Linked DNA regions of Drosophila melanogaster. The protein of the gene in region 1 interacts with the protein of each later gene in a pairwise test. Each region holds a gene or a part of one and is shown in the gene's direction. Other genes may lie near its edges.

Region 1 (4,915 bases):
CGGTTTGATTTTGCAGCTCCAACTGGACCCAAGACCTAAAGTATACCATGCATAATGTAATAAATATATATTGATGAAAATAACGTCTTTAACTTACGCATAGATCTTGTTAATCCGACTGAAGATGGTCTCTAGGACTGGCAATAGAGTTCCCTTATACTGATCATCTACCAATTGTCCAATGACTTTTAATAGCATCTGCTTGCCATTGCTGCGTTGCAGCAGGAATTCTGTAAGTCGAATGCGATCCGAAATCAGTTGGCACAATGGTTCAATGCAGAGGTTCAAAAACCACATGCAACCCAACTTGGCATCGATTACAATATTTGGCTGGAACAGTACCCAGTGCGTGGAATCTGCATGGGTATAAGTGTCAAATAAAGTAACTTTTTGGATATTTAAAGAACTTACACAACTCGCACTGCAAGATTTGTCCATCAGGCGAAAGTGAGGGCAGTTTCAGGCCAAACGGTTTGATGGAGCGCCCTGGAGTTATGGGTGTATGATAGGTTATTTCATTGATCACCTCTCCGGGCAGGGAGATGTCGAATAGCAGCGAAGTGCCCGAAGCTTGATGGTGCACCACAATCAGATTATCCACCGTGTTGATGGCGAAGCGACCAAGCAGACTTAAGCGGAGCACATGGCACTTGCGTGGAGCCAAGCCCGGTCCATTGAGCAAGTGCACCTCGACTTCCATCAGTCCGGTGGTGCTATTTGACTGGAGGATAAGCACAGCCAGCACGCCGTAAACTTGGCCTAAGGTGACCTTGCTCTCCTGGACATCGCGACTTGGATTGCCCACTGAAAGGAAAGATTAAAACGCTTTTAAAGGATTTTAACCCAAAAGGATTACTTACAGTCCACTTTGGGCAGCTTGGTGATTACTTTCTGCTTGACCAGCACCGGAATCAGGGAGTTTCCTTCGCTGGTGCACAGTAGAGCCACATTGGCATCGCAGCACCAGGCGAACCACTTGATGCCAATGCTCAGGGATTTCACAGAGCGCACCTGTCGCTTCTCAGGAACTACGGTGTAGACCTCCACGCCGGTATTCGAAATCAGGGCCACCTCTCGATTGTGGACCCAAACAAAGCCATGGATCAGAGTCTTCACCTGGTGGGTAATGATGTCCTGCAGCAGAGGCTGATCTCCCTGAAAACATATGAACTCCACGGAATTCTCCTTTCGCTGAACGGCCAAGATTTGGTTGTCCGGCGAGAACTTAATGGACCTTATGGCACCGCCACGGTCGCTCATGCAAAAGGAGATGACGACATCGTCGGGAGATCCAGGACCTTTGACCACCACACCAGTAGCTCCTCCAGACCGAACAGCAAATATCTTTACAGATATAGATTTTTAGCCATCATCAACATGGATTTTTAACATGTTTTAACTATACCTGCTTGTTGGAGTCATCGAAAAACACATTGGTTAGTTGGCTGACAGCATCAAATCGTATGGGATTTGGGGTTAGCTCAATGTAGTGGATTCCATTGGAATTATCCATTGTTGTGCTGGAAAAAAATAAATAACAAACTGCAACAGCACAACTTTTTATACACCCCCCATTAGAGATGTGACTTTAGCACAGGGTGCTAGAGATGTGCCACGAGTAACAAGCTGTTTTAAGTCACGATTAATTTCATTTATTGTACGTGCAAGGATTAAAAATATAAATGTATTTAACATTATTTGTGGTATGCTTACAGTAGATATTTTTAAACATTTATACTATATTTATTTAACCCCTTCCAACTCACGCTATTATTTGCCATCACTATTGCTATCAGCGGTATTTTTGCCAGCCCTATCAGCTGTTTAGTATACAAACAACAGCGATAAGAAAAAACGGCAGACAGGACACAGAAAAATATTTTTTCTTGTGAATTTAAAAAAAGGTCTCAATAACTTTGATTCAACCACTTAATGGGACACCTGGACAAATGCCGCGTATGCTCCAGCGATGTGGCTAGAGACGACGAGGCCTACAATTTGCTGCACCATCCATATCTCGCCGTCAAATTTTCGGAGTGCACAAATTTGGTGGTGGATCCTGATGACCAGGATATTTTGCCCAGCGAAATTTGCTCGGAGTGCTACGAGCTTCTGGAGAAGTTCCACTCCTTCCGAGCACTTTGCATTATAGCCGACAATAAGTGGCGTTCTAAAAGTCTGGTAACTTGGAAGAAAATAGATCGCAGGAAACCTGTTTACGAGGTCGATGAAGATGAGGAAGAGGAGCTGGAGCTGGAAGAACTTCTATTGGAGCCGCCGGAGATGATTATATGTGATACCAATTTGAGTGCACAAAATACCCCAATAGTCGCTGAACAGGCACCGCCAACCTTGGTATTCCATACCTTCACCGAAAATGTCCAGCAACCCCCGGAAACGGAAAAGAAAGCTTTGGAAGTGAGTTTGGGTTTAAGGTTTAAACAGGAGTGTAAGTTAAGTTGTATTCAATGATTTCAGGAGCCGCCATTGACCACATACAAGTGCGACTTGTGCGCCGACGAGTTTCGAGAGGAGAAACGCTTGATTCTGCACAAGAAGGAACACCAGGGACACATGCTGTATCATTGCACTGAGCCCGGATGCGAGGAAGCTTTCAACCGATTCGAGAACCTCAGGCAGCACGAGCTAGAGCACTCGGAAGTGGGCATGCGGTTTGTCTGCGAGGAGGAGGGCTGCAACAGGATGTACCGGCACAAGGCCTCGCTGAAATACCACCAAAGCAAGGCTCACGACATTGGCAAGCCTTTGAAGACCCATATGTGCGAGTTCTGTGGTCGGGTGTTCAAGACTGGCTCTGCCCTAAGCCAGCATCGGTTCACACACGGTGACCAGCTGGTATTGCCATATGCCTGCGAACTGCCGGAATGTTCTATGCGATTCTATAGCACGGAGAAACTCAAGATCCACATGATGCGTCACCAGGGCATAAAGAACTTTAGTTGCCCCTACTGTGGTCTCAAGAAGACGACCAAAAACGAACTGCGACTGCATATCAACTATCATACTCTGGAAAGGACCTGGTCCTGCAAGGATTGCCCCAAAGTTTGCAACAGCTCAACGAGTCTTAAGAAACATATCCGCGCAATCCACGAGAAGGCACGAGATTATGCCTGCAGCTATTGCGAAAAGAAATTTGCCACCACCGACACGCGAAAATATCACGAAATGACCCACACTGGCGAAAAGAACTTTGAGTGTCACGTTTGCGGCAAGAAATTTATACAACCCTCTGCCTTGCGCACCCATCGCAAGGTCCACGAATCGGGGGATAATCAGCAGACCGCTTGTGCTCTGCTGCAACTGACTAGCATGGGTTAAAGAAGTTAACATATTTCTATTTTAGGTTCAGTGGAAAGTACAACATTCATATCGTATTTTACTTGACTCACAACTTAATTAATATTTACATACCTCCTTTATTGAGGGATTTATTACGATAACGAATTAGAAGAGCAGGGAAGAGGCAATTTTTAATAAACTAGTCTTAGTTTCTAATGGCACAAATACATGCCATTTTACCCTTAATAACGTTAACAAATCAGGAAGTTTAGGGTAAATGGCATTAATTAATAAGCTGTAGTTTTTCTATCTTATCAAGAAACTAATTAATATGACAACAACCCGCAATAACGACAATAAATCTTATGGTGTAGGGTATAAGTTAATGACAATAAATCAGAAGGTGGAAGGTACAAGTATATGACGATAACCCCAAATAATGTTAACAAAACAAGAAGAGATTATGAATGGAGACAATAACCCTTAATAACACTAATCAGGAAGTGTAGGGTAAAGTGAATTATTTTAAAGAAACTGCACTTTTAGTTTCTTACCATTTATGTATGTCAATTTACCCTTAACAACGAAAATATCAGGAAGATTAGGGTAAAAGACGTTTAGTATTATAGTCACATTTGCAACTTACACTTTAAGTAAACGACAATAACTTCGAATACTGACAATAAATCAGGAAGTATAAGGATACGGGGAGTTTTGCAATAAACTTTGGTTTAAGTTATTCACGTTTGAGAATATGCCAAGTTATCCAAATCAGGAAGTAAAGGGTAAAGTGCATATTCTTTTATGAAGTGTAGTTATAGTTTTTTGTTTCGTTCTGTTTGTTTCTTAAACTTTAAGTTTGTTGAATTTATAAAATTGTTTTCTTATTACCTATTTTTTATGAACTAAAACCTTTTACTCGGTTAAAAATGAAATTATATACTTTAAGAGTACTATTGTACTTACTGTATCGACAAATAAATACTCCAATAAAGAACCATTTCCTTTTGGGATTCAGAATGTAAATATCAATAATTGTTTAATTATATTTTCAACTAAAACAATAATGTACAGGAATTGTGTGTGTGTGTGTGTGTGTTACTAAATAAATCGGCAGAGGATTCGCTTCCTGCCGCGGACCACTAAAAACTAAAGTACATCTGCTAAAGGTCGTGAGTCTGTTTATTGTATATGGTATAGTATATAGATAGCTTTGCATACATATGTATAATGGTGTGGTAAATGATATGACGTGCCACGATCATTTCCCCCGGTAAATATGGTGAAATCTGTTGCATTAAAATCGTTGTAAATATGATTCTTCAGTTATTGTTATAGATATATATTTGTATAGTTATATATGTTGGTGAGCTAAATGCGTTTTCTTTTTTCGGCTGCTGTAAATATTGAGTGTATAAATATGTTGTATTCGTATGTATATATCGTTTCTATATTTGCGTGTACTGATCCTGGGGGGAAATACGATTTCTTGTCCATCGCGTTCACTTCACTCGTTCTAAGCCTATGAAAAAATGCGTTTGTTGTCGTTTTTACATTTTTAGAAAATGTTTAAAGTACGTAGAACATAAGAATATAGCATATTTTTAGGCTAAAT
Region 2 (5,475 bases), on another chromosome or scaffold:
CGGTGGCCATGGCGTCCTCGTTGAGCAGCCAGCGGAACCGGCTCTCATCGACGGTGATCTTCTCGATGTCCTGCAGCTTGGCGTTGCTTACGGACAGGTAGGTGACCACCGACTCGGTCTCGTTCTCCAGCTCCTTAAGCAGCGCTGGGCTGATGGTAAGCAGATCGCAGCCAGCCAGGGCCTTGATTTCGCCCACGTTACGGAAGGAGGCGCCCATGACCAGGGTCTTGTAGCCGAACTTCTTGTAGTAGTTGTAGATGTTCGTCACGGAGATCACGCCCGGGTCCTTGAGCGCCTCGAACTTCTTGGTATCCGTGTTGGCCACGTACCAGTCCAGGATGCGGCCCACGAACGGGGAGATGAGGGTCACGCCGGCCTCGGCGCAAGCCACGGCCTGTGCGAACGAGAAAAGGAGCGTCAGGTTGCAGTGCACACCGTGCTCGTTCTCCAGGATCTCGGCCGCCTTGATGCCCTCCCAGGTGGACGCCAGCTTGATCAGAATTCGCTCCTTGTCGACGCCCAGGGATTTGTACAGGGCGATCAGCTTCAGGGCCTTCTCCACGCTCTTCTTGGTGTCGAAGGACAAGCGGGCATCGATCTCGGTGGAAACGCGACCGGGCACAACCTTCAGGATTTCCGTTCCGAACAGCACGCACAGGTAGTCCATGGCCTCGGCCACCTGCTCACTCACGGAGCTGCAAACGATGGTATTCTATGTAGCTTTGTGTGGCAAACACCCAAGTGAACTGCTTACCCCTTCTTGCCCTTGGCGTATTCCACCGCCTTTTGGACCAGCGGCTGGTACCGCTCCATGGACGAAGCGGACAAGATGAGGGAGGGATTAGTGGTGGCATCCGTGGGCTTATAGATGTTGATGGCTGGAAGCAATGTGTAAAGTATTTGCATAAGTGCGGGGCCAAATTACATTGCGAATTTTAGAAAGACCTCGAAACCTGTTGAGCGACTTTCATTTTTCAATCGCCCGACCGAAAATATCTTTGAACTTTTCAAATGTCTGAGCAGGTTTGGCACTCTGCTCCGAAACCTTATCTCTGGTGGCATTCTATAGTACACTTTACTATAGCGGTCACATTTCTAACACACGTAAGCACCAAAGGTCAAACTAAAGTCAGCTCGGATTTGCTTTTCACTTTTATTTGATCTTCACTGCGGCAGACACGACGGATCCGATGGCCCGTCGTTAATGTTTATCTTTTGGATAAATCCATGTATCCTATGTATCTTTGGACTCGGATTCTATGTATGCTCTATATATGTATGGATGTTCGAGCTCAGACTCGCATTTCGCTTTAGTTGCATTTCTGGATTCCCACTTTTGAGGCAAACTTACGCTAGCTTTGAAATCGGACTCATCTTGTTAAGAAAAATACCTTGCGTGCGTACTTACCTTCAAAGTCGCCGGTGTCAGCCACAATTGTGGTGATTTTCTTGAGTTCCTGTAATACCGACATCTTTTGCTTTTTTAACGTGCGATCACTTCCCATTGCCCAACTTCAATGCAATAAGACCGCCACTGGAGCGGCAATTTATACCGCCCGGCTCTGGAAAAATACTGAACAGCCCCAACTTGGGTTTAGGAATCGATATAAGGGGCCATCAGGGGGATTCCTGACAATTAAGCAGACTTAAACTAGCTCCCTAACATTAATCTTTAACTGTGATGATAAGGTATTCAAGCTAATCTTAGGTGAATAGCTTGTTAAATATAAATAACCATCTACTTGTAATTGGACGAATAAATAAGTGCATACTTTCGTTCTTGTACAGAAAGCGCTGAACATTTTGGGTCGGAAGAAAATTTTCGTAAACTAACGATAATTTTAAAAGTATGCATTTTTTTTAGATGATTTTTCTAGTGCAATGATATTGATTTTACTTGGACTAGGCTGGTCACCTACTGAGATTTCAGTTCGCCCAGTACTTCAAATCGGAAAATCACCATATTTGACCGCTTCAAAAGTCATATCTTAGACAATTTTTTGATATTTATATGCCAGAAATCAATTCATCGTTGGTCACCTACTGGGGTTTCATAGCAAATTTATGTGATTTCCTAAAAAAACATGGCTTAGATTATAAATTTCAAATGAATTAGCTTTACCGGCTTTAAATTCACCACACGCCATCTCTAGGAGCTATCGATATGTCTGTGTATCGGATTCCTTCACCAATCCAGATGTTTGTTGATCCACACGTGTGTGCGAAAGATACTCGGTAACAAACAGTTTAAAATGAAACAAAAACACTCGAAGAACAGGGCGAAGCCCTACAAGAAACCAACGCCCGCCCGGCGAAATGAGAGATTCTCGAAGAACTACAGTTTCATCCAGAGGAGCAAGCAAATGGAGGAGTCCCACCGCAGGGAACGAATGCCCACAGCACCGAAACAGGAATATGAGCCCGTGGCGGAGCTGTTGCCGGAGATCCAGGATGATGTGGACGAGACTGAGTTCTATAAAAAGCTCATAACTGGTGTTAATAACATACCCACAAGTAGCCCTTGCAATGGACAAAAATGTGCCCATGACTAACTAAGAATATCGTTTCCAGGTGACATCCTACGCTCAAAAGCAGAGAAGGAAGAGGATCACGTTATTCCCGTGCCCAGGAAGATCAAACCCAAAAAGGAAAAGCGTTCCGAGCAGTTAGGTGTCGACTTGGAAATATACAATTCGTTTTCGAAACGCTTCGATTTTGAGCTATCTACGGATAATATCAACGATTTGATTGCGAGAAAGGATGTTAAAACAATCAAGAGGAACTGGTCCGCTCTGGGGAATGTAAGGTTCGATATACCACGACTGACTGAGGACTTCAAGGAGCCCGACTGCAGCGAGCCCAAGGACATTGCAAGCACGGAAGATCTGCAAAAGTTGGAGGTGAAGGCGTCCATTTGTGCAAACGCCAAACTGCCACTCACTGCCCTGCAGTCCCAGCTCTTCTACATCGCCAATAACTACCAAGATATATACTATCCCCATCGAACTCATGGCAATGCCGAGGATATTCGCTATGTATACTGCCTGCACGCCCTGAACCACATGCTGAAAGTCAGATCACTGATATTGCGCAACAACGAAAAGGTTTCGGCTTTGGCCAAGTCACAAAAAATGTCGCCCAACGAAATCTCTATACCAGAGAGCTTCAGGGACCAAGGGCTTAAGCGGATGAAGGTCGTTTTTGTAGTGCCCTTCAGGGAATCGGCTCTAAGGATTGTAAATATACTCGGAGATCTACTCTTTGGCAGTCAAGATGGTAAGTCACCCGTTGATAGCAAAGAACCTGTATTACCATTAAATGTCCTTCACAGATCAGGCCAGGAAAACCTCGATCGCGAACTATGAACGCTTCCTGGGAGATTACTCCGGGAATACGATTTACTTCCCCAAAACCAACCCAAAGCCAATGGATTATGAGCAAACATTCAGTGGCAACACGGATGACAACTTCAAACTAGGTATTCGTTTTACAAAGAAAACCATGTCCCTATTCTCCGATATGAACGCATCGGACATGTTGATCGCGTCTCCCTTGGGACTGAGAATGCTGGTTACGGACAAGGAGAGCGATTTTGACTTTTTGAACTCCATTGAACTGCTGATAATCGACCAAGCCGAATTGTTCCTGGCGCAGAACTGGGAGAACCTGCTGCACTCCCTGGACCACCTGCACCTGCAGCCGCAGAAGCTGCCCGATACGAATTGCCAGAGGGTACGAACGTGGTGCCTGAGTGGAGCGTCAAGTTTCTACCGCCAAACCCTGTTCTTCTCGTCCCACGAGCTGCCCGAGTTCCGGGCAGTGTTCAACAGCAAGTGCAACAACTACCAGGGAAAGGTGCGAGACTCGAACCTCGTCGAGCACGGAGACATCCGGAACGTTCTGACTCCAATACATCAGGTTTTCCGCCTAATCAATTGCTCCAGTGTGGAGACGACCTTCGACGATCGGTTCCAGTACTTCGTCAAGAATATTATGCCCCAATTCAGTAAGCCCGGTTTCTCGCACTGTATGCTATACGTGCCCAGCTACTTTGACTACGTACGGATACGCAACCATTTCAAGACCGAAATGGTCAGTTTTGTGCAGATAAATGAGTACACCAAGAAAGAAAAGATTTCCCGGGCGAGAGATATATTCTTCCACAGCGGGGCATCTGTTCTGTTGTACTCGGAAAGAGCGCACTTCTTCCGGCGCACGCGGATTAAGGGCATCCGGAACTTGATCATGTACCAGCCGCCCAACTTTCCGCACTTCTATTCCGAGATCATCAATCTGATGCTGAAGACAAATCAAAATCCGCGCGATGGATTTGGGGACGAAATGTCCGTCAGTATCCTGTACACAAAGTACGATCTGCTAAGCTTGAGTAACATTGTGGGCAGTGAGAATGCTGCGAAATTGACTTCTGGTCAAAAGGATTCCTACCTTTTCTCCACCAAAACGTAAATGCTTACACGAGAGCTGACTTTGAAATATGTACATATTTAGTTGTCAATTAGAATATACTAAATGTTAACGCAAGTAAATAGTAATGTATGTGATAACTTTCAGTTGTGGCTCTATTTTTGGACCTAAATACTTTCGTGACGTAGAGATTTTAGGAGGAACTGGCTAGGTGATTGATCTGATGTTAAGGGTGGCGATGTCTTCTCTTTGTTATTACGCAATTTGAAATTATGAAAAAATGAATAATTGGCAAATGGTTGTGTAATAAGAGGCAGCATAAGTAGTGTTTTGCCGATTGATGAAATGATTCAAAATGCATTTGAATTCAATATATTTTGCCTGTTTTTACTTTAATATCCCTTTTTTATAAAGGAAGATTGGCCAGAGCATTATGCAATAAAAGTTATCATTTATAAGGCAATTAAGTGTTAAAAAACATTATTTTGCAGTTTGTATTTGTTTTTAAATGATCACTTCGCTTGATTGCTTGAGATTGCTGGAATCTGGAACCATTACCATATACCGAGTTCCTAAATAGACAATATCCAGCGGTTGACAACCGCATCAAACCCAGATTTGCCAGTCCCAAAATAAATCAAAATTCCTGGCTGCATTGTCATTTATCAACATTTTTAAATATACACATAGGTAGCTTATAAAAGTTCTGGCCTAGACATATAGAGGTAAAATAGTAGCCAAATGCATATTTATGGGGGTCTCTGTGAAAAGTCGTAATAGCTGCTGCACAAGGCGGATGGCTGATGGCGGATATCATACGGCAGAAACGTGTGCGGAGAGCGCTCTTGCCAATATCTGAGAGTCCGAGTCCGTAGGGGCATTACAAGCCTATAAATAAAAATAGTCGACGGCTGCCAGTCTCTGCTGAAATTGGGGAAAAAGGCAGAAAAGCCAAACGAAGAACTAGGGGTTCGCAGGCCGACTGGTGGATGCTCTTTCAGCTGTTAATGGATCGAGATCAACTAGATTGAGGAAATGAGTATTTGGGCT

Evidence for each region.
Region 2: the proteins of CG10147 (region 1) and CG3735 interact in a two-hybrid assay, tested with the Drosophila melanogaster proteins (one large-scale study listed by BioGRID).

The regions. Positions count from the first base shown.
Region 1 is NT_037436.4:6,485,359-6,490,273, reverse strand, and holds CG10147 (uncharacterized protein), read left to right. Parts: upstream 1-1,849; 5' UTR 1,850-1,932; coding exon 1,933-2,418; intron 2,419-2,478; coding exon 2,479-3,339; 3' UTR 3,340-4,107; downstream 4,108-4,915. Other genes in the region: bulli, read right to left, coding at 1-35, 98-356, 412-804, 861-1,344, 1,406-1,513.
Region 2 is NT_033778.4:23,936,460-23,941,934, reverse strand, and holds CG3735 (uncharacterized protein), read left to right. Parts: upstream 1-2,180; 5' UTR 2,181-2,252; coding exon 2,253-2,514; intron 2,515-2,571; coding exon 2,572-3,276; intron 3,277-3,331; coding exon 3,332-4,467; 3' UTR 4,468-4,858; downstream 4,859-5,475. Other genes in the region: Taldo (transaldolase), read right to left, coding at 1-695, 755-878, 1,409-1,505.